Linked DNA regions of Drosophila melanogaster. The protein of the gene in region 2 interacts with the protein of the main gene of each other region in a pairwise test. Each region holds a gene or a part of one and is shown on either strand. Other genes may lie near its edges.

Region 1 (4,852 bases), 5.8 Mb from region 2:
GTCAGGCCGGCTGGTTTGCCTGGCCGCTTTTCCTCGTTTCATTTTCATGCAGCTTCCTGTGCCGTTGTTTCCGGTTTTATGCCTGCCAGTGTCTATTTGTGTATAGTTTTTGCCATTAGCAACCGTTGTCGGTTTGAGGGACTTAGGGGTGTTGTTGGGGCCGGGGCTGGTAGAGCCAACAAATTGGAGAATAGTCCCAGTTTCTGTCTCTATCGCTGCTGCCTTTGTTTCCAAGTTTCGGCTTAAGTTGTTTTTAAGTTGTAAATCTCTACGGGCATGCAATTTCCCCTGCCTGCCCAAGCTGTATCAAATTTTTCATTTGTGGTTAAAAATATGAAAATTGTAACTGATATTTATGCTTGTAATGCCTACGCTTGACATTTTCAGCCCAGAGGGGTGGTGTCCACAATAATTCATCTCTGAAATGCGTGTTCGAGTTTGTTATTTTTCGGATTACGTGTGCGAATTTGGCCCCTTGGAATTTTACTCATTTAAAACTGCCCGAAAGTGATACGTGTGCTCTATTGGTATTTTCGAAATCTGCCTCCTTGACTTCCGACTGACTGGGCCACGTTTAATTGAATGTGTTGCCAGTATGATTTTGGCCATCTGACGCATACAAAATTTCTATAAATATGTACGTTATCGTGCCCTGATATCGATCGCCTGGGGTGTTTTTTGGTTTGAATTGTAATTGTTCAGACATTGTTGTGAATACGTAAGCTGTTGTTATTTCTCTAGAGGTTGTTGTTAACTGAGCTTTTGCTTGAAGTTTTTGCTGCACTTGAATTCTAGTTTATTTTAAAGTTTCGCATTTTATTATTATATATAATATGTAGCATATTGTGTTATTTTGCATACTCTAATTTATTGCTCTTTAAGATAAATGCACAAATTTGACAAATAGAACACATTTTAGCACAAACAGCATTTCATTAGGATACAACTAATAGGATAAATTATTTTTTGCCATGGCCGTGTTTGAATGATTTGCTAACTTTTTAAGCCTGCACAAATCCTTGGCTGAAAATGAAATGCAATTATATCGCAAAATAAAATTCATTCAATTAAATCCTAACTGAAGCCCAATCTGAATACGTTTAGAATTGCAAATGACTATGATGGCGTTTTTGTTTTTTTTTTTGTTGAGAATAATACTTGATTTATTGGTCTTTACATGATATTAAACGGTTTGCATTTCCCAGAGTTTTCATATAGACATTTCAATAAATTAGGCAAAAATATTTGTCAATTTTCATAGATTTGCCTTCATTCCCAATATCAGAAAGAAAATTGGGTTATTTGGTTGCAGCCCAGTCCGTTATGATGCATTTAATTAAGTTTTGATATTGCAAATAAACACAAGTTTAGTCGCTGAATGAAATCGTTGTCTATTGAAAATTTATTCCAGTTGTTGATGCGAATAGTACCCCCCAGAACAAAACGCAGATCGTTGTCTGCCGCATTCGAAACACGTCTCAGGGGCAAAGTGGCAGAGACATTTCTCAATTTATGCAACACCTTTTGCCGGTGGAAATTGCGCCGAAACCGAAATCGAAAACGAAACCGAGACCAAGACCGAGAACCGAAACGGGACGAAAAGGACATTCACCCCGGGAAACTCGCTTTTCCACTCACCTGGCTTGGAGTTGTTGCCCACGAGCTGCTGCTGCTGCTGCTGTTGCTGTTGCGACATTTGCTGTTGCTGTTGCTGCTGCGAGTGCTGCTGTTGGCCATTGTGCTGCAAATGAGCAGCTGTCACCGACTGCTGCTGCTGCTGGGCGGCTGCTGCGGCCGCTGCAGCGGGATGGATGGCCAACAGCTTCGTTTCCGGCGGCTTGTGCGGACCCATTGTGATCTGCGGGGCACCCATGGCTATGGTCGGTGCTGGCATCATCAGGGTCGACATGGTCAGCATAATTTGCGAGTGAATTTTGGTCGCTGGACTCGGGAAGCGAAGCTGGGTTGGCTGGTGATGCAGTTGCTCTGGCTGGGAGTCTTTGTCTTTATTGATTTGCTGCTGACTCCTCCGCAGGATCTGAACTCGGTGCCAAAGGTCGTGCGTTAGCCTTTGTCGCCAGCTTTCTCTGGCTCTCGTCGCTGCTTTCTACTTTCTATGTGTGCGGAGTGCAAACTTATGAAATATGCTCTCGCCTTGCTTCGCCTCTATGTATTTTCACTTTTCGTGCTGGCTGGTTACTCTATTTATGTACTACATATATGTATATATATATATATCGACGTAAGTATGGGGGCATGTGGAAAATATGTAAGTATATTTTTTTCGCCTTTCTTTTATGTTTCGCTTATGTGTTTGTTCAACCGGAAATACACGAACTCAAGCGCACTTGGCTTGTAATATCGTTTCAGGGATTTCCTTCGCCTTCTGCCTGCCAGTAATCGCAAATTATTCTTTCTTTTCTGTTGTGTCTGCTGGCAGCGGAAATTATAAATATTCCTGTCATGCGAGTAGTACTACGAGTTCAGTTCTCTGCCTGCCAGACGTCTTCTGTTTTAATATCAATGTCTGGTATGTAAAATGTCAGGCCAAAAAAGAAAACGAAAATATGAAAAAAAAAAAAAAAATGAAAATATGTGAGAAAATAACAGGGGAAAATGCCAAACAAAAAAGTGAAGCCCTGCTCAGCCGGTTCAAAGTCGCTGGGAAAGTTTCAAGTAGCTGGCTGCAATGGCAATTATTATTTTGCCGGCAGCCTCTGAGTTTTTGTCGCGCGCGAATTTGCTGGCAACTTTAGAAGTCACTGACTCCAAGTGCGTGATAAGACCAGCTTAATAAATGTCGTGTATAGGTTAAGATTGAGTGATCTTTAAAAAATAATAGGTTCTAGCCCAAAGCCCAGAATAATTTGCCACTACGGCAAGGCAAGGTGTGAAGTCTATGTTTCGAACTACGCACGAACCAGGCCGACGTGATCAATCGCACACACAGGATATAATTTACAGGATATACAAAGCGTTCGGTATACGTTCGTACTAGACCGCTGGGCGACGCTTTTCTTACTGAACGCCAGGAGCACACGCATTGGCCAAAATTCGGAGGCGCTGCTGCCACTGCAACGACGGCAGAAAGGCTGCCGATTTTCCCGCTGTCGCTGCTGCTGTGAAAATCGCTGTCGCCGCTGCTGCTGCTGCCTCTGCCGTCGATGACGACGACGGGATGCGTTTCCCTACATTTCTCTTCGGCGGCGAGGAGTTCGGTTAACGGCGGCACGAAGCTGGCTGCCATCGCAGCCATCGTTCATGAAATATTCACGAATGGCTCGCTCTCACTCGCGCCGCCTGCTCCTTGCTGAATCCTTGCTCTCCGGCCCTCTCTCCGTCCCTCTCGCCATCCCAACTGGCTCGTTTCCTCGCTCCAGGCGCCATTCACAAGTCGCAAGCCTCGTCCTTTCAGGTCCTTTCGGCTCCCGTCGCCACAGAGCGCAGAATCCGAGCAGCCGAGAGCACAGGCTTTTCGAAAGCGCCAGCCACATTTGAAATTGACTGCCAAGGCTTGTTTTCTGATTTATAATTTAAATAAAAATATAATGTTATATCTTTAAATTAAAATCGTAATATCTACATGTAAAAATTCAGTTTCCAATTTAGTCAGAGCTTTTATAATGATTTTCCGTACCACTTGTCGCTTTAAATAGAACCTTCAGAAATGTCCTTTTGCGCCTCGTCACTCGAAAATACCAGTATTTTTATGGCATGCCCTGAAAACTGTTATACGTTGCAGGACAAGGCAAATGTTAAGAACAGCCAGCTGATGTTAATATTTTCTATTCTTTTTCATCTGAATCCATCCTTGCGTCCAAGTGGTCATAAAATATTAACTTTTAAAACTAATCTAACAATATAATATCTAACTAGGATAAAGCAGCAATAGCTTTTCAACAATTGTAAGCACACTTATATGCTAAACACTGTGAAAAAGGGTCAGATAAAAGCAACAACCTTTGAAGTTATTATTACTTAGTTTCACTAATATGAAATGTTTTGTATAAGCTACATACCATTAATTGCATGAGAAGCTTTGCTTCTCCTGCTGCCAATTGCCTTGCGTTAATTGTAGCCCTGGAACTAAATCCAAACAGGACAACAAAAAGGATGCAATTTAAGGTGTATCTCCCTATTATTGCACTCTTTTCTCCTCGTTATTACTCCTCTTTTTGCGTTATTAACATACTTTCTCGTGTCGACAGCGGTGACAGGGACAGCGAGCGACAGGACGACGGTGTTCTGAGGTAATGTTGCAAAGAGCAGTGCTCGAAAAAGTGTCTGGGCTGGGGAGGAGTCGCCAGTGAAATGGGGAAATGTTGGTAAAATACATAATTACATGTAATTTACCATGCGACATTATCATTGTTCTGCTCGTATTTAGCATAGAATCAACGTCGCACGGCAGAGACGTCGAGTGTCCATAGAATAGCTCATGTAGCGGACAACGGGTCTTGAATGTACTCTCCCTGCTCACCAACTCACAGAAGTACTCGAAAAAAATGATTCAACTTTATATTTATTTAAAAAATAAATAAAATTCTAAGGATTCAGCTTAAAACGTTCAGTTTAAAACCAAAGTTACATATAATTCTAGGGATCTCAAGAGTAAACATAACGATACTTCTACAAAACATTTCGATTCAATTGTAAATCTATGTTTATATTTGTGAAGAAAATCCTGATTTTCTTTTAGTGTATATTGCATGTGCTTAAATGCAACAAAAACAGCAGCAACTTCACGTAATAACAAAAGTGAAGTAAACAATAAGAAGAGGCCGTTAGAGCGATGCAAAAGACGAGTTTCTTTCTTGTTTGGCCCACTCTTTCTGCATGTCCTTCTGCCGCT
Region 2 (4,122 bases):
GTTGGTGTTAATGAACCCTTGTAGCCTGATAGCTGTTAGTTGTTTACGTTCCGAATACCGATACCAAGATAGTACTGCCAATTCTACACTGCACAAATCCACTGGAAGTACTATACTATGATTTACTGCACAAATAAAATGTACTAAGCTAGATATTAAATATATCGTAGTAATTGGAACAGATCATTGTAAACCATTTCTCATTGATGTCAGGCCAACTAGCTAGGCAGAATTTGAATAGTCGTATATTTTAACATAACAAGATGCCATGCTGACTTTCAAATATTTTCGGGCAGTGCATCAACGACATTGTCACCTAACGTGGCTTCGTTAGGAAAGTGGCCAAGTTTGATGATCCGCAGGCACGCGCGTTTTATATTTAGCCCCACACCAGGGCGACTGCGATCCTCGCGCCAGAGGCTTCGAGGAGCGGGGCTAGTCACGTGCACAAGGACATTCCAAGGCTAATTACGTGTGGCATGGGGCTTGGCCAAGTTGGGTACTTCGGGTTCGGGCTTGGGTTTGTGTTTGAGCTTGGATTTGGGCTTGGTTCTTAGCTGGACTCTGGGATAGTGCCTTGAGTTGGGTAATAGTAATACACACATAGAACACGAACCGTTCGTTATTGTCGTCGCTTGTTGCGGCAGTTGCCGCAATCTGCGGCATGTATCTGTATCTTTTGCATCTGCGTGGATGTTACTGCTCCTGCTGCTGCTGCAATCGCCGCTTAATTAGCTGCGTAATTTATTATTGCTCTAATCTCAACGCCGGCGCCAGTGCCGTTGGCTTTGACAAATAAACAAATTATTCATATTAGAATATTAATAGTGCCTGCAGGGGTTTATCTGCACCGGAGTATGTGGAGTATCTGGCATAATTATGACCTGTTTGACAGACTGTTCTCTCCTGTTCCCTTTTCCTTTTCCTGGCCAGCCTGGGATTCTTTGGCTGGCATTACACTGGCTCTTGCCTGGTAATCGTTAGGCGGACAATAAAGTTGCACACTAACTAAATATGTAGGCACGCCGATGCAATCGCACAATTATGCTCAATTATGCAACTGGGAAGAGATCTTTAGATCAGCAGAAGCAGGTGCTTTAAGCAGGCACTAGGTGCTATCTGCTTGGTGCTAGGTGCCATGTGGAATGCAGGGCGGATATCATTGACTAATGAGCCCATCTCCGACTCAAACTCGACGTCTTCTTTTGCCCTGTCATAAAAATTAAAATGCATAATCGCGGGCGTTTCTCGCAGGGCTCTTGTTACACCAGTCGAGAGACCTTTTGCCGGTATAATTAACATTGCTCGCGATTCCACCAAGCTGGCTAGCAAAATGCAGCAAGTGCATGTGGATATTTATATAATTTGCAGCTGTCAGGTTTATTCACAGTCGGGGCTAATTAAGCCGGCGTTTAAGCCGCTGGCAATTAGACGATTTATCACTTGCCACAGAACCTCAAAATCATGCCCTTAGATCGCTGAGAAAGGCCAAGCAAATGCAAACAAACTTATGGCCCAAACACTCTGCTTACCACACACTTAACCACTTCACTTCGCTTCTTCAATGCTGCGCATGCGCAGCTCCCGTCGACGGCGCCGTCGGCAGAGAGTTGGGAACCGGGAATGCGGGGATTCTGGCCAGGCCCCCATATATAAAGCGTCGATTCTGGCCGCGATCACACTCATTTCCAGTTGAACGCGCCTGCCGACCAGTGGGCCAATTGATTCGTTAGCATTTCGATTAGGACTCTTCTGCTAAATTAAGAAATCACCGATCTTCACTTACTGACCAGGTAAATTTTTGTACATAAAGTGTTTGTGGAAAAAGTGTGAAAACATCAAACATAAAATTAAGGGTAATTGTTTAAAATTGCCGATCAAAAGGTGAAAAAAATTAAAAATTTTTGAATGCGAACACATACTAAGCAAAGAAATGGAAAAACAGCGGCTTTACTTCAGAGTAGAATACAATTTAATAAGTAGATATTAGTAAACCAAAAGTGCCTACTTTATTTAATTATGAATTATTAGCTTGGGGATACTGCACACTTCGGGGTATACTTTTTGCTCCGATCTCGGCCGGCGATGGGGCTCCAAAGTACTGGCCATATTTTTTCCGTTGTTCACTTGTGCTGGTGGGGGAAAATCCGCTGGTTGCGCAATTGGAGTGTGAGAAACTAGCTCGAAGCATGCAAATCAGCTTGAATGGGGCTTGGGGTCAGTCGGGGATCGACAGAAGATATACTCACCGCCAATGCCATGATCCAATTACAGCTATCAAATGGGTAACCACATGTGGAGCATCATACTAATGCTGCTGGTGCTGGAGCAACTAGTGGCCGACTCTGTGGCAGCCAATCTAGCCCAGCTGGTGAAGAAGCAGAGCCAACAGAAGCAGTTGCAATCCTCGCAGCCAGGACTGCAGGTGGGACAACAACAGTCGCAGGGACAGCAGATCCACACGCAGCAGTATGTCCAAGACACATTGGGCGAGCAGCAGGATCTAAAGTCGGAGGACGAGGAGGAACACGATCCCTACCAGATGATGCAGGAGTCGAAACAGGAGTCGCGATTGCCCAACTCTGCCAACTATCCCTGGAGTCCATATGCCGCACCTCAGGGCAATCCTTACGATGCCATGCCCAAGATGCTTCCCTTCATTGGCTATGCCCAGCCAGTGCTCATACCCGTCCCACTCTACCTGGCTCCGGATATGTTCTATCCCGCCTTTTCTGGCGCCAGCAACGATCTCGAGGATGTGGTGATGTCACGAGCCTCCGGTGGTCGGCGTCCTGGGGCCAATCACGCGTCATCAGCCCGCAATTCGCCCATCTACTACGTAAGACTGCCGCCCACACCGTATATGTTTTTGCCCAATATGCCAACGGCTCCATTTGGGGGTGGATTCTCACCACTGCTGACCTACCAGCCCATGCCCTCATTCTCCGCCTACGGTTCGGTATTCAATTTGCCCGTGAACTTCCTGGCCAACGGAAAGCCCACTGGAGTCTACCAAGTGAACGGATCTCCGGGTGAGGCGATGGGATCCCTGACACCTGGCTTGGGTGGCGGTGGATATGGAATGCGGCCACCGACGCCTAGTAATCCCTACAGACCCATGTCGTCGCCTTCGATGGGTGGTTATGGAGGCTCTCAGCAGAGCTTTGGACTCGCCTCCATGCCGGTTCCTCAGCAGGACTCCAAGCTGACATCGCTGAAGCGTCCGTTCGTGTTCAACGGTCGTCCCGAGGACATATACATCCTGCCAAACAACTTGGGTCCGCTCTACAACGAGCAGAGCTACTACTAATTGCACTTCAGGCAAATGGCTGTGGCAACAACTGAAAGTATTACATAATGCATTTACTAGATCGTCTTTTCGATCGTAACGAAGCTTGAGAAAAACAATTTAATAAACTATACACTTGGAAAAAATGTTTTTTTTTTTTTGGTGTAGCATCCAATTTGACGTCATACAACGAAATAGCTTATTTTTATTATATTTATGTACGTATATGTAATCTTCTCCATCAATTATATTTTGTATAAATTGTATATTTTTGGCCGAAAATATCAGATGGTGTAGACCAATAAATAGTAGTCATAATATCCTTATCAGCCGATGTTCTCGGACTTTAAGCGGCAAAGGCTTAAGTAAATGCAGTCGGCCACATATCGATGTAAATTCCAAAAAAGTCGAGAGGAGTGCTCCACAATCAGTCACCAATGGCTGCCACCTGGGCTGTCTTCCGCCTAATATACTCCTGATCCCCCAGATTGATGGCAGCTCCAACCAAGCCTCCCGTTTTCAAATCGAACTCATAGACGCGTGGCACGCAATTTGGAATGTTAACCTTTTCGATGGCCTCGTTGGAGATTCCTACGGAGTGACCATCGATGTAAACCATAAGCTATTGCTAAGCCTATCTAACTTACCCTCAATGTGCTGGACGAGAGCACGGGCCACAGTTCCGTGGACGCACATTAGTACCCGGGTGCCTTGGAACACTTCCCGCCTGACCTCCTTCCACACGGGTTTCACTCGATCGACGCACATGTGAAGGGATTCCGCGAGGGGGAACTCACCGCGAGGAACATCATCGAATATGGGATTGCTGCAAA
Region 3 (6,037 bases), on a different chromosome or scaffold from region 2:
AACACCGCCCGAGAAACCGTTGATCTTTCAGCGGGGCAACTATATTACCACTTTGGTGGGGGGCAAACCCATCGAGCTGATGGGTGACGACATGGCCTCGACACAAACCCCTCCCGGACATGTAACCAAAACACTGATCAAGGAGAATACCCACATCGATTTGAGAGATCGTCTGTCGCACATGTACTCCATGCCCTCCAAATCGCTGTCCGCCTCGAAGATCTCGATTAATAGCGATTCTGCCTATATGCAGCACCATCGACGTGATAAGGAGCGCCATCGCGATCGCCAGCACCGGGAACGCCCCAGAGATCCTCTCCAGCAACAGCAGCAACTGCATCGCGAACATCTCATGAGCACGCACGCACGCAGTGTAGAGCACCTGAATCATTACAATGGGTAGGTTATTCGCGATTCTTCGAGATTCTTGTGTAGATGTTCTAGCAAAGACAGGCTTTTTCATAGATTTAAATTTTCCTGACTAATCTCCCCGATCTTCTTCGCCATTCCAGACTGGATCGTCGCCGAGACACGCCCCGACAAAGTGAGTCGAACACACTTCGAGCCCGCCTGCCCAGCGATATGAGGAGTGTAAAATCCCTGGATTTCGATAGCGAAAACGAATCGAAGCCTGCGACTGAGACGCGTACCACTAGACCCACTCCGCCCAAGAAACCCCTCCGGCTATCGCTGCAACGAGCCCAAAGTCTGCAGACCGTGGAGCTGCACCCCTGTGCGGATATCGAACGAAAGCGGCCCATGAAGAGGGTCCACCACAACAACAACAACAACAACAAAGGTGGAGAATCACCGACTGGAGAGGGCCAGACCATGCTCATCGAGAACTGCAGTCCCATGCACACGGCTTCCCTCGGCAGGCACAAGCTCATCTAGAAACCCGATCCCAATCCAACCAAAACTAATTGTTAATCGAAGTAGCTTAATCCTCGACCGATCCTAACCGGCGGTTAAACCCAAAAAACAGGCGGACATGTGCAAAATTACAGTAGGCAATATAATTTTAACCAGCTCCCAAGTGGAAAGTTTCTTATTATGTAGTAGCAGTAGTATGTACTTACATTCTATATCTTGTATAAGTAGGGCTTGGCTATCAACATTTAGTATTGAGAGAATCAATAATTAAGAGTTTTTGTATGTACGATGATTTTATTAGCACAATTTACAAATGTGAATACACGAATATTTTCACCTACTTAAATGCGTTATTTATTTAAAAAATTCGATCCCGGCCTGCTATAAATGTGATGTAACTACAATTTCATGGCATCGGTTGGCATATCAGAAGCTATTACCTGGCAACTCATTTTCAAAGAATTTGTAGCAGTAGTTCTTCAAATTGCTTCGCCGTATCTGGAAAGCATGCCAATATTTACGACCTCCATTGTAGGCACGAGCCTGGCACATATTTTATGACGCCACAGTGATAAGGTATTCAAATGAAAAGCACGTTAGCGTGTTTCAGCTGCGCTTTTAGTAAGTTCAAAGAATTACTTAATAGCTATAATTTGGATATAATTAAAAAAAAGGCCGTTAATAGGATAATAAATATATCATCAGAGCTGGACAAAAGAATCTGATCAATCTGCAGTTGATAAAAAAAACTCAACGAGGGAGATAGAGCGATAGAGCGGTGAAGTAAGCCCGAGATAAACCTGAGAGCGGAACTCTCGCCTACGCGATCGTGCTGACCGCCAAATGCAATATCCGCCGCTCCACCTGGTGGCGCTCTCAATTCTCAATTCTGCGGTCTTCTTGCTCTCGCCAAATCTGCCCCAATGTTCTCTCAGCGAGTCGATTTGCGATGGCAATGCCAGAGGCTCGAAACAGTTCCGTCGCAGGTTTCCAACGGTACAGAGGTGCAATCGCTTAATTCTCGCAAAAAACAATCAGTACCCAATTATAAAATAGTTGCTAACAAGGTGAGTTTGCAACGGACGCGAAAAAAAAGAAGATCAAGGGCTAGTAATCGAGAATATTGGGTGAAGGTTAAGCTGAAGTTGAAGTTACTTGAGTTAATTGTAATTGTTAATTGTTCATAATTTATTGGTTTGCTTACATTTTAGAACCTGATTTAGATATATTACCCACAATTGCGTGTTACCAAAAAGAAACCAGTTACCGCAAAAACGGAGTTTACTTCACTGATTTTTGATTCTCTCATTCACTGTCCGCTCACCCTTGAGTGGGTTAAGGTAACCAGTTATTAATCCAGAAAAATGAGTGGGCAAAAATGCAGCACAGACCAGACACAAAATATTGTACATATCCATTACAATCCACACATTCCACGGCTTAAAACTTCAATAAACATTTAAATTCCCAATCGTGAACAGTTGGTTGAACAAGTGTTTACGATATTCTATCTTTTCATATATGTAAAATTATGGCTTGTTCTTATCTCAAAACTGCATAGCTTCGGCGTTTAAATTAGACGCGAAGTCTCTGTGTGTGAAATCAAGTAATCTTGGCTGTATTGTTTGCAAATTCACGAAGAGAGCCCTGCGATCAAATTGTTCAGATAAGCATCTTCATTAGCATATCGTTTCACGGTAAAACTCAAACTGAGTTATTATTTTCAAATCAATCATATTTAATCAGCAAGCAAGAGCCCTAATAAACCTTATTTGATGGACAAGCAGTGGCTATTAGTTGCAATTTGTGACCCATTTCGTGACAGTTTGAACCAGAATAAGTAAATACCTGGCAAAAAACAGATTAAAATACTTATACGTAATGACAATGGCATTTTTAGTTCCGAAATTCAGTCGCTCTACGAGCGTGAGAATCGTAAATTATGGGACCGATTCCAAGTGCAGATAAGGATACGTGTGTAGAGCAGGTACTGACCGCGTTTGAAGATCGTTTCAGAACTCGAGCGTGCAAGATCGCCAGCATATCGCAGACACATTGATAAGACCGTAAGGAAACCGGACCCATAAACAAATATTGCCCCGATAAAGTGTGACACCCATCCATTTCATTTGTGGAACTTTGGAAGCGAAGTGCGTACGAAAAAGAGATTGTTGATTGACCTTCCCGCAGCCGCACTTAACCCTGTGAAAAAGGCTGTTTGCATTTAGTTTCGTTTGGGTATCGCTCATTATTCACACACATAAATAATAATACCCGTTCGCACATCATATATGACCCACAAATCGTTTCATAAATTGAGGCTAGGCGCTTCAATTCCGCACACAACTGTCCGTTTAAATGGAATCAAGAGAATGTACACCTGATGACGTCCAAGCCAGAGATGAGCTGGAATTCAAGTGCCAGAGATGAGTTGGCATCACGGAATTTGAGATTACAAGACATAAACCCTCCTAGCATTTCCCAAAACTGAAAGTATTTGGTTCCAAATCATTTAAAGCTTTACTATAAAGCATTATATAAATAGTTTTGGAAGATGTTTTTAATATTGAGTCCATATCAATTATCGAAATTTCAGGATTATCATTTAGTTCATTTTTAGCTATGTCCAGTAGATCATCCCTGGTGGGATTTTCTCTGCTTGTGCCACTCAATTTAAAATTATTTATTTATAGACATTTAAACATTTCTAACATTTGCTATCCGAGTCGTACACGTGTCTAATTTAACTATGATTTCCTTGCAGTTCAAAATGATGCAATATCTTGTTGTTAGCCTGGCACTCTGTGCCACAATTTGCTCTGCTGCGCAGACGGTAAGATATATAATCTCGTTAATTTGAAAATCCACTTATAATTAGGACACTGAACTTACTTTGCAGCGCAATATGCCCATTCAAGCCATTGCCTATCTGATTGGACCCGTGCAATCGGATAATACCCAGGTCAAGGGCAACGTGACCTTTACGCAGAACGACTGTGGCCAGAATGTCCATGTGCGCGTCCAGCTGGAGGGATTGAAGGAGGGCAAGCACGGCTTCCACATTCACGAGAAGGGAGATCTGACCAATGGATGCATCAGCATGGGTGCTCACTATAACCCCGATAAGGTAGATGCGGGATTCTTTATAGGATTAGGTGTCTAAATCACTAATATAACTTTTATGTCTCAGGTTGATCACGGTGGCCCCGATCACGAGGTGCGTCATGTTGGCGATCTGGGCAACCTGGAGGCCAACTCCACGGGCATTATCGACGTTACATACACGGATCAGGTGATCACCTTAACTGGCAAGCTGGGGATCATTGGCAGGGGAGTTGTTGTCCACGAATTGGAGGATGATCTCGGTCTGGGCAACCACACGGATTCCAAGAAGACCGGCAATGCAGGCGGCCGCATTGGTAAGTAGTCAGTGTAAAATAATAAAATAATAATAATAATAAAATATTTGTTTTAAACCTTCTTTCAGCCTGTGGTGTTATTGGCATCAAGTAAATATCCCTTCCAACGTGTCAGCCAAATCAATATGCTGCTCGAATACTTTATGTGTAGTTGTGTAACTCCAGGCGTAGTAACTAATGAAATGTTTTCCCAATTTTCCCAATTCCCCCACCCACAATCACACTCACCCTTACATGTTTGGCTTACACATTTCCCTCAATTAATTGTCTCAGTTCACTGACTCACTCGATTTGCCGTGTGTGTGTTTGTGTGTAATAAAATCAACAAAAATTAACCGAAATCTAAGCTAAACATTAGCATACTCTGTACCACTTGTGTTCTACCACCTCATATTCATGGCCTAAACAAACTTTCGCGCTTTGCTGGGGTTGCTTTTCCGAGTGGGTAGGTATGACAGAGAGCCTTTTTACCTATCATTTTTACTAACATCATTAGCATTAGTCGGTCGGTCGGTCGGTCGGTCGGTCGGTCGGCGAAGAGAAGGGGATATTGGAATAACAACTGCCGCTGGAATCGGAACTTTACTGATCCAACCAGGGTTCAATCAAAAAACTCACATTGTATGTTTTCCAGTGGCCCATCTGTACCTGCACCTGCACCACCAACACCACGCCATCAGCCACTGTACTATGTGCCCCATGGGGAGCCACAAGATCATGTTGTCTATCCACTCCAGCACTATCCTTTGCCATACCCACACCCATATCCATATCCGCACCCATACCCCTATCCGTATCCGTTGTCGCACCAATTGTATCTGTGAGATCGCGAGACTACACCGTTCGCCTGTTCCACCTTCTAATTGCAGCTCGGATGTGGACGAGTGGCCATGTCGCGATGGTGGCGCCGGCGCCCTGCGCTACTCCTTCTCCATCCTGACCGTCATCGTGGCCCTCATCATGGCCCGCAGCCTTGACTAATCCGAAACATGCACCCGGATCGGATCGAATGCACGCATGTGGCATGGGATTGTTGGCCATCGTAGTGATCTGCATACCTACTTACACACTAACCACACAACCATGAGTCGCACACCACTACCAACAGTAATTATAATACTCCAGCATTATCCACCCAAATAGAGAAATCAAAGGAACTAACTAAGCTACTTGTAAAGTGTTTGAATTGATCGATAATAAAGTTTGTTATTTGTATTTCGGGTGCTTGCAATTTGTACGTGCTTAGATAGTAACAAAAGTTGCTGAAAATGAACGACAGATAAGGGTTAGCTCTAATTTTATAAAAAAGATTAGACAAAGTGTTTCCAATGGACTGTTAGAATTGCACATAAATCACAGTAGTAGTAAGTTATCAAGAGAATTAAATATAACTTCAATTTTGTATGTTGATTTCTAAGGACAAATAGCTGTTTGTTCCCTAAAATAGGTTACCAAATAAATGAACACTCAAAAAGTTGGTAGGAAAACTATATATAGAACTTCGACGTCACCAAAGCTTTTCCTACCCATACACCTTTATGTGGCTGCGAATGGGTCATATAACATTTAGTTGCCTTTGATTTGCTGAATTCCAGCTTAGAGCCACAATTTGCTTTAAATTGCGGAAGCCTTCAGAAAATATTTGTGCTCCAATCATTCAGAGAACTCCAATTCCCAGGGATTTTGATTCCAAGCCGCCGCAACTAATGGTCAAGCAACAGTTTTTGCTTTTATTTTTTCTAGAT
Region 4 (7,337 bases), 1.7 Mb from region 2:
CAGCTTCAACGCAGCTCGCCCACCCGGAATTTGAGTTCTTTGACTAGTTACTAAACACAGATACAAAAAAAAACTACATGCATATAAAACTATATATATAAAGAAATCTATAGAATACGCTAAATAAAATCGATTTCAAGAAACATCAATTGCATTCTTAATCATCAACAAAATTCTAAGCTATTGGAAACCATTGGTAGTGTATTGAGAATTGAGCAACGGCTGACATCACCAGGTGCATTTAAATTAAGAGAAAGTAAGCAGAAGAATTAAGCATTCATGAAAACTAGTTTCGCAGAAAAACTGCGTCTCACTAGAGAATATTAAAGCTATAAAATTCATTCATGTATGTATGTTATACCTTAAGAAAACTTTTTAGCACAATTGTAAAAGTTAATTACTTTTTAACTATATTTTAGACTCCGCTGAATCCTCCACCAGATTTGTAGTAGTAGTAACCACTTCTATCATCAATGATATAAATTAAAGTTTGAAATAATAATTCCACATCCTAATTCATTACCTCAATATAAAAACCAGCGTCCCTTCGTTTTCTCACTTGTTTTATATATTTTTTTGCTTCTTTATTTTACATTTTACATATTTATATCGCATTTCGTTTTCCACATTGGAAATATACAATATGTATGCTCGAATTTACATTCTCTTAGTGACTAAATTTGTTTTTCCTCTTGTTTTTGCATTCGGCTTGCTTGCTTGCGGCTATCCTTTCATCCCACTGAAACTACCCTCTTTCCGTCTTCAGTTTTCGTTGACACATGTTCCACATAGTTACAATTACAATTTGCTTTGTCACGTTTTTGTTTCGATTGTTTTCTTTTTGTTTTAACTCTGTCGCGCGTAATTAGCATTTTCTCTTTTCAGTTTTTATTTGTTTGTTTTTGTTGAATTTCTCATTCGGTTTATTTTATTTCCGTTTCGTTTATACGCCTATATCTGCTTAAATTAGAAATCATTAAATTAATTTAACACGTACTTAGATTGGATTAGATTGTTACAGCTACCCGCCCATCGCCCGGAGCTTTTCAATTGATGTTCTTTCAGTTGTCGCCGGCGTGGATCACTTGAAGTTGAGCTCCACGCACCGCCTTAACGTTCGACTTTGGGGGGCTATATACCACACCCGATTCCGCTTCCTTCCACCGCAGTCAGCCGCAACCGTAGCCACAACTTCAAAGTGGACACTCGCGCATCCTTAATAATCTCCAGATACATTGCCACCGTCAATGTGGCTGCTGCCGCTGGTCAACGGCATGGCCAGGAGCGGCTCCGACTTTGCTACTACTCGGTATTGTACGTAACCTAAACGTGCGTAATGCGCTTGCAACTGCTGCAGGTGCGGAAGCTGATGCAGCAGAGGTGGTTGTGGCTGCGGCTGGGGGCGACTTCCCGGATGCTGCAAACGGCGTCGAAGCTGGCGTCACATCTCAGCTCATTGGGTCTGGTATTGTGGCATCGCAGCACTGTACATCATTTGGGGGGCAAGTGATCCGTTCGCTGCAGCGGCCGCGGATGCTGCGGCAGCCGTCACACCGGGCACCACAGTTCCGGGCACGCCCCATGCTACATTCGGCGGCACCATGCGGTATCCAGCCGCTGAAAATTGTATGCAAGCTGTTTAAGCCAAGGTCACGATTATTCAGCAACTGAGAAAAGTAAACTTACGGACTCCTCCCGCTTGCTGAGCACTGGTAGGGTAGGCGTAGGGATAGTAGCCCTGCTGCATGTATTGCGTCTGCATCTGGGTTGTGGGATAAGTCTGCAGAAAAGCACAAAGTTAGGGTCAATCTTTAGGTCACTGCGTATTTAAAGAATACAACACTTACCGCAGGTGGATACCAGTAGCCCATCTGCTGGTACGCGTATGGATACTGCGCCGCAATCTGCTGGGGTGTCATCATTTGGCCGGGTATCGCCGCTCCTGTTGCGGCGGCGATCTGTTGCTGCGTCATCATCTGACCGGGCATACCCGCTCCAGCGGCAACCGCAGCATTGGCTGCCGCAACGGCGGCAACATTGGCAGAGGCTGCTGCCGCGGCAGCGGCGGCATTGAGGTTATTGGCCGAGTTATCGCCTCCGTTCTCTTTGCCCCAGAAGCACTTTACCAGGTTTCCATGTACCTCGCTGTTGTGCGTGTGCTCGATGGCGTGGGCGGCTGCCTCCTTGGTAACAAACTTGATGAACGAGAAGCCCTTGTCCTTGAAGACCCGCACGTCCTGGATGGGACCAAACTGGACGAAGTGCTTGTGCATCAGGTCGTCACTGATGACATTCGGCGGGAATCCGCCACAGTATACGGTGGTGTTGGTGGGGCTCGACTGGTTATACACTTCCTCGAAGGTGTGGCGTTGACTTCCCTTTACACCGGACCCATTGCCCGGTCCGCCACCCATTCCGCCTCCCTGGCCTCCGCCCTTGGAAGGCTCGCGTGGTGGTGGCAGCTTGCGCGTGGACCAGTTGGTGCGTATCGAGCGCGAGCCAATCCACTGGCCGTTCATCGCCTGGATGGCGTTCTCTGCCTCCGCCTTTTTCACAAACGACACGAAGGCGTAACCCTTTGACTTCATGGTGTGAGGGTCGCGCACAATGCGACAGTTGGAGATCTCTCCGAATGGGGCGAAAGCCTCGCGCAGTGTTTCTGTCTCAATCTCGGGACTGAGGTCGCCCACGAATATGTGGTGGTGCGAACTGATGTCTGTCTTCGGCTGATTGCCGGGACTGGTGGCCCAGTTGACCTGCGAAGAGCATTCGTTTAATAGGTAATAATCAATTAAGTTCTACATAATTAAAATAACATGAGGGCTTGGTCGTGGGGAATGTGTGTGTTGCAAGAGTGTAGTTTCGAACAAAATGAATGAAAATGACCGCTGTCCACTTGATAACTTAAGAGAAGCTAATCAGCTTACCTTGATTTCCTTTTCGAGGAATAGGCGTTTATTCATGGCGGTCAGAGCTGTTGTGGCTGCCTGGTAGTTGGAATATTCGATGAAGGCATATGGATCGTTGCCCGGTTCCCGAATGATTTTGCAGCTTTTGACGGGCCCCATGGTGCTGAAGAGGGCAATTAGCAGGTCCTCGGACACTGAGCTATCCAGGTTGCCCACGTATAGGGTCTTCGGTTGCGACTCGTCCATGGCTGTCGGATGTCACGGGACTGTGGCTTTTTTGATCTGATTATACACTAGGCTACAGCGACAATCTACTGACTCTACACTAAAACCGGAATTGCAACTACTGCACCTGGCCGCATTAATCGGAAGGGGATGTATCAAAAATTTGCAGATTAAGTTCCTAGCTACGTACAAAATCTAAAGTGTCTGCTAATTAAACAGGTGTATTTGCGGCAATCTAATTGGTGCTAGCTGCTAACAGGAAACTCCAAGAGAGATTTGAATACTTTGATTTTCTACTACTTTCGACTTACTCTCGGCTTGGCTTGATTTTTTTGGATTATATAAACTTTATATGCTCAATCTAGGTAGGTTGATCTATTTGCTTAACGCTGAGGTTCGTCGTTTATTGCTTTATTTTGTTCCTAATCTGGCGCCTAATTGAAAATTTCGTTAAACATCTATATGTATACGTATAAATATATCTGTCCTAACTAAACGCTAATGGAGTGTTTTGGAATATACGATTAGTCGCCTAATATATATGTCTATAATCGGTTGACTTCCTTTCCTGGGGGCCTGGGATTTGGATTCGGGGTTTCTTGGTGTACACTACTTGGTATTTCAGAATTGCTCGATCCTTCTTCGATGATCCGGATGTTGTTGTTGTGATTATAAATAGTTGTCCGTTCCAATATACAGGATTGTATAAATGTACATATGAATACTTGGTTGCGACTACTTATTCTTGCTCTTGTACAAAAATTAGTTAGCTAAGTTAAACAGCGTGAAAGTTCGCAGGCTGAGTGTACTTTTCGGGTTTCGAAGCTGACCCCTGGAATCGTTGCTGCTGTAAAAGAGAGAGGTAAATTTGGGTTAGTTTTGCGCTGATAACCGGAAGAGTGGGACAAGGTCTAATGGCACATGATCGGTGGGCCTTAAAACAGGCGCAAATGATATGGATATAAATCGACTACCCCGCCCCGCCCCCTTTTCGCATGATGGGAACAAAGAAGGCGGCAAAGCAGTGCAGGGACACGCACACACAGACGCACGCTCACACACACTGGCGCACACGAAAAACACGGGGAGAGTGAGTGAGCTATCTTCGGAGCGAGAGAGGCGGGTGGGAAAGGACAGGGGAAAGAGACTGCCTGTCTTTATAACAAAGCGAATGGCCAACAATTGACAATAGCCATTCATTCGCAACAAATTTGCGGGCCTTGCAAAATGATTTAGTTTATAATTAATATATTTCTGTATTCACATTTACAAATTTTTTTTTGGGCCACTCACGCACAGCACACAGAAATGCACACTCAGGCACGCCAGCGAGACGAGGGCGAAAGGAGAACGACGAAAATCGACTAGAAGATGAATGACCGTCGATAACAAAATGAGGAGAAAGAAAAACAGGGAAAAGGAAGAGAAAGATGTGGGAAATTTTGCGAAACCGGCGGGCGGGTGACACACACGGTTGCATTAGATTCGTGTTCTTCTTCTTCACACTTTGCGAAATCAAATTTTAATTTGCATAGAACTAAACTTGATTTTGATTATTTCTGCGGCGGCGGCGCTAGAAAATGTCAGTCAAAGTCACAGAACTGAAGAGACGGCGAAAAGGGAATGGCGGGGTGGTTTTGGTTGCTCATTTGCTGCTTATTTTCTTCGTCTCTTTTTCGCACACACACTGACACATTAGCACCGACACGCACACACACACACGCAGAGAGAGGCGTCTTGCGCTGGTCTTTTTGTTTGCGTTTTCCTCACATGAGTCTCCACTTTTCTTTTGCTTTTGCTTTTTTCCGCTTTTGGCTATTGAGTGTATTTAAACTAATGCCAATATACCAATACCAAGACGATTTGAATGCGGGACTTTTCATTTGCCTTTTCAGCTTGCCGCTATATGTACGTATATGTATGTATCTTGTTCGCTTTTGTGCTGCCATCTTTTAATGCCGCTCCCCCGCCACCAACAACCGCCACGCCTCCGCCCCGACCCTGCTGCCTGACAGCGGTGCCGAAAACTGGGCTTAACAATTATCGTCCCCGCCGCACTATAGTGCATTCGCTTAATGTCCATTGTTCAGACTCGAATTTCGCTGTCAAAATTCGCACTCTCTTCTTTTTTCTTTAATGCGCTCTCTGTGACGTGGCTGCGTTTGTAAATTTACCGCATTTTACTTGCTCTGCACTCTGTTCGCACACTTCATTTGACGGTCAAGTTTAGCCGCTACCGGTTTGTATTAATTTTGCGAAACTTTCAAAGTTGTTAGGGGCTGCAAATGTACGTTGAACGCGTCGCTAAAATTTTACCTTCGTCGTCTAAAATGCGAACTAATTAATGAGATTTTGTGTGCGAGAGCCAGGGCTGCCAACTTGCTGAGAAATAAAAACGCAATGGCGGCAAGATGGGAAATGCAATAAAGAGTATGGACTTGACAAGATTTTTTTATAAAATTACTTACGTAGGGGTATTTAATGGAAATTCAGCGATAATATGACAAGGATCACACATTAATTCGCGACTTTAAGTTATTTGAAGCAACGTTATCGAAAAGGGGGCAACCCTAGGGCAGGCGATAACGCTTGCATCACCGCTTTCTCTCTCTAACACACTCACCGCGGGCGCAAATGCAGCACAAAGCAGACTAGAAATAACAATCGTTATCGAAAAGGTCGTCGAAATGGGCATAAATATTTTTATAAACAGTAAATATATAATTTCTTGTGGAGATCACGTTAAATGTGATGAGCTTTACAGTCGGATTGCGGAGAAAACAGTGAGTATGTTATGTATAATTTTCATAAGATTTTGCAATGTGGCCCTTTTTTTTACAGAACCTGCAACCAGGGGAATACTACTTAGTCAGCAATGGCAAGCGCTTGGAGGGAGAAATTTCATCTGGAGATGTTCACTGCGTTCTCCGCCAGCTCGGTGGCAAAGGAGGATTTGGTTCCATGCTTCGAGCCATTGGTGCGCAAATTGAAAAGACAACCAATCGCGAGGCTTGCCGCGATCTAAGTGGTCGCCGTTTGCGGGATATCAACGAGGAGAAGCGGGTGCGCGCCTGGCTGGAGAAGCAGGGCGAACGGGAACGGGAGGCCGAGGAGCGTAAAAAGCGAAAAATCGAGAAACTGCTGGCCGTGCCCAAGCACGACTTTAAGGACGATAAGTACGAGGAAGCCAGGGCTAATCTGACCGAGAAGGTAAACGACGCCTTCGAGGAGGGACTCAAGCAGGCCGAGGAGAACAAGGAGAAAGGCGTCGAGGAAGCAACTTCCAGTGGCACAAAGAGGAAATCCCCCGCCGTAGACAAGACCAAGGCAAAAAAGAAGAAAAAGGGCACACTCTGGATAGACGATGACATCTCTGGATCCGACTCTGACTCTGACGACAGCGAGGAGGAGCCAAAAACACAGAAAAAAGCTATACAAAACTAGATAAATAACTTTTGAATTAAGTATGTACCAAAGACGTTCTTATTTCAAAATTTACCTGAAATAAACATAACAATATAAATACTTCTCATTTAAAATTTGAAAGATTTAGATTTAATACTATGGGGATAATTAAGTAATTTATAAATATACATTTAAAAGAGAAAGAAAAATCACGGTGACACAAACTGTGAAGAAACCCAGGCCAATCCCCATTTCAGGTTGGTTAGCATGAATTTCAGTGCCTTGGTCCACTGCTCCTCCGAGTTAAACTGGATTCTGTAAGGAAACCATCATTATTATAGGTAAAATCTTTACCATTTCTAAACCTACTTAATAGAATAGGAATTTCCCGTGGAGGGATCGATGATCTTGCCCTTCTCCATCTTGTAGGGCAGCAGGAACTCGGTGTCGCGCTTCTCGACCTCCTTCTGGAACTGGGTAAGACAGTCGAGAAAAGCTACCATGGCAGCATCAAACTTGGTGTCCCAGAAAAACTTAAATCCGCCGCTGCCATAAAGCGGGAGCTCTCGATTCTCGCCGAGCACCTCAACATACGAATGATTTCCAAAGGGTACTACACGATACCGCTCGAAGGTGAGCCCTATCTTACGAGCAAGCGCAGAGAGCAGAAGCACCGTCTGGCCCCAAGCGGCGTTGATCTCTGACCAGTCCACGGATACAGAGGGCAATCGACCCAGCCTAAAGTTATTAATGGTACCGAAATGCCCGGCATGCCAGATGTGAAAGGTGATGTTGAAT

The links.
Region 1: the proteins of CG13857 (region 2) and CG34354 interact in a two-hybrid assay, tested with the Drosophila melanogaster proteins (one large-scale study listed by BioGRID).
Region 3: the proteins of CG13857 (region 2) and Sod3 interact in a two-hybrid assay, tested with the Drosophila melanogaster proteins (one large-scale study listed by BioGRID).
Region 4: the proteins of CG13857 (region 2) and Rox8 interact in a two-hybrid assay, tested with the Drosophila melanogaster proteins (one large-scale study listed by BioGRID).

The regions. Positions count from the first base shown.
Region 1 is NT_033777.3:28,145,038-28,149,889, reverse strand, and holds the start of CG34354 (uncharacterized protein), read right to left. Parts: upstream 3,011-4,852; 5' UTR 2,963-3,010; exon of another isoform or gene 2,922-2,962; intron 2,391-2,921; 5' UTR 1,919-2,390; coding exon 1,639-1,918; intron 1-1,638.
Region 2 is NT_033777.3:22,391,678-22,395,799, reverse strand, and holds CG13857 (uncharacterized protein), read left to right. Parts: upstream 1-1,695; 5' UTR 1,696-1,793; intron 1,794-2,274; 5' UTR 2,275-2,281; coding exon 2,282-3,310; 3' UTR 3,311-3,611; downstream 3,612-4,122. Other genes in the region: CG7059 (uncharacterized protein), read right to left, coding at 3,717-3,880, 3,937-4,122.
Region 3 is NT_033778.4:11,379,918-11,385,954, reverse strand, and holds Sod3 (superoxide dismutase 3), read left to right. Parts: upstream 1-1,840; 5' UTR 1,841-1,940; intron 1,941-2,879; exon of another isoform or gene 2,880-3,023; intron 3,024-3,637; 5' UTR 3,638-3,643; coding exon 3,644-3,706; intron 3,707-3,772; coding exon 3,773-4,000; intron 4,001-4,063; coding exon 4,064-4,292; intron 4,293-4,360; coding exon 4,361-4,382; coding exon of another isoform or gene 4,383-4,386; exon of another isoform or gene 4,387-4,926; coding exon 4,927-5,116; 3' UTR 5,117-5,161; coding exon of another isoform or gene 5,162-5,273; 3' UTR 5,274-5,506; downstream 5,507-6,037. Other genes in the region: sprt (sprite), read left to right, coding at 1-399, 513-894. UniProt on the Drosophila melanogaster protein: Protects the extracellular space from the toxic effects of reactive oxygen intermediates by converting superoxide radicals into hydrogen peroxide and oxygen.
Region 4 is NT_033777.3:24,042,511-24,049,847, forward strand, and holds Rox8 (Rox8), read right to left. Parts: upstream 5,756-7,337; 5' UTR 5,603-5,755; exon of another isoform or gene 5,280-5,602; intron 5,212-5,279; exon of another isoform or gene 4,989-5,211; intron 4,859-4,988; exon of another isoform or gene 4,678-4,858; intron 4,503-4,677; exon of another isoform or gene 4,428-4,502; intron 3,982-4,427; 5' UTR 3,156-3,981; coding exon 2,928-3,155; intron 2,757-2,927; coding exon 1,848-2,756; intron 1,781-1,847; coding exon 1,687-1,780; intron 1,636-1,686; coding exon 1,454-1,635; 3' UTR 546-1,453; downstream 1-545. Other genes in the region: CG5986 (uncharacterized protein), read left to right, coding at 5,822-5,917, 5,976-6,578; Atg6 (Autophagy-related 6), read right to left, coding at 6,749-6,854, 6,909-7,337.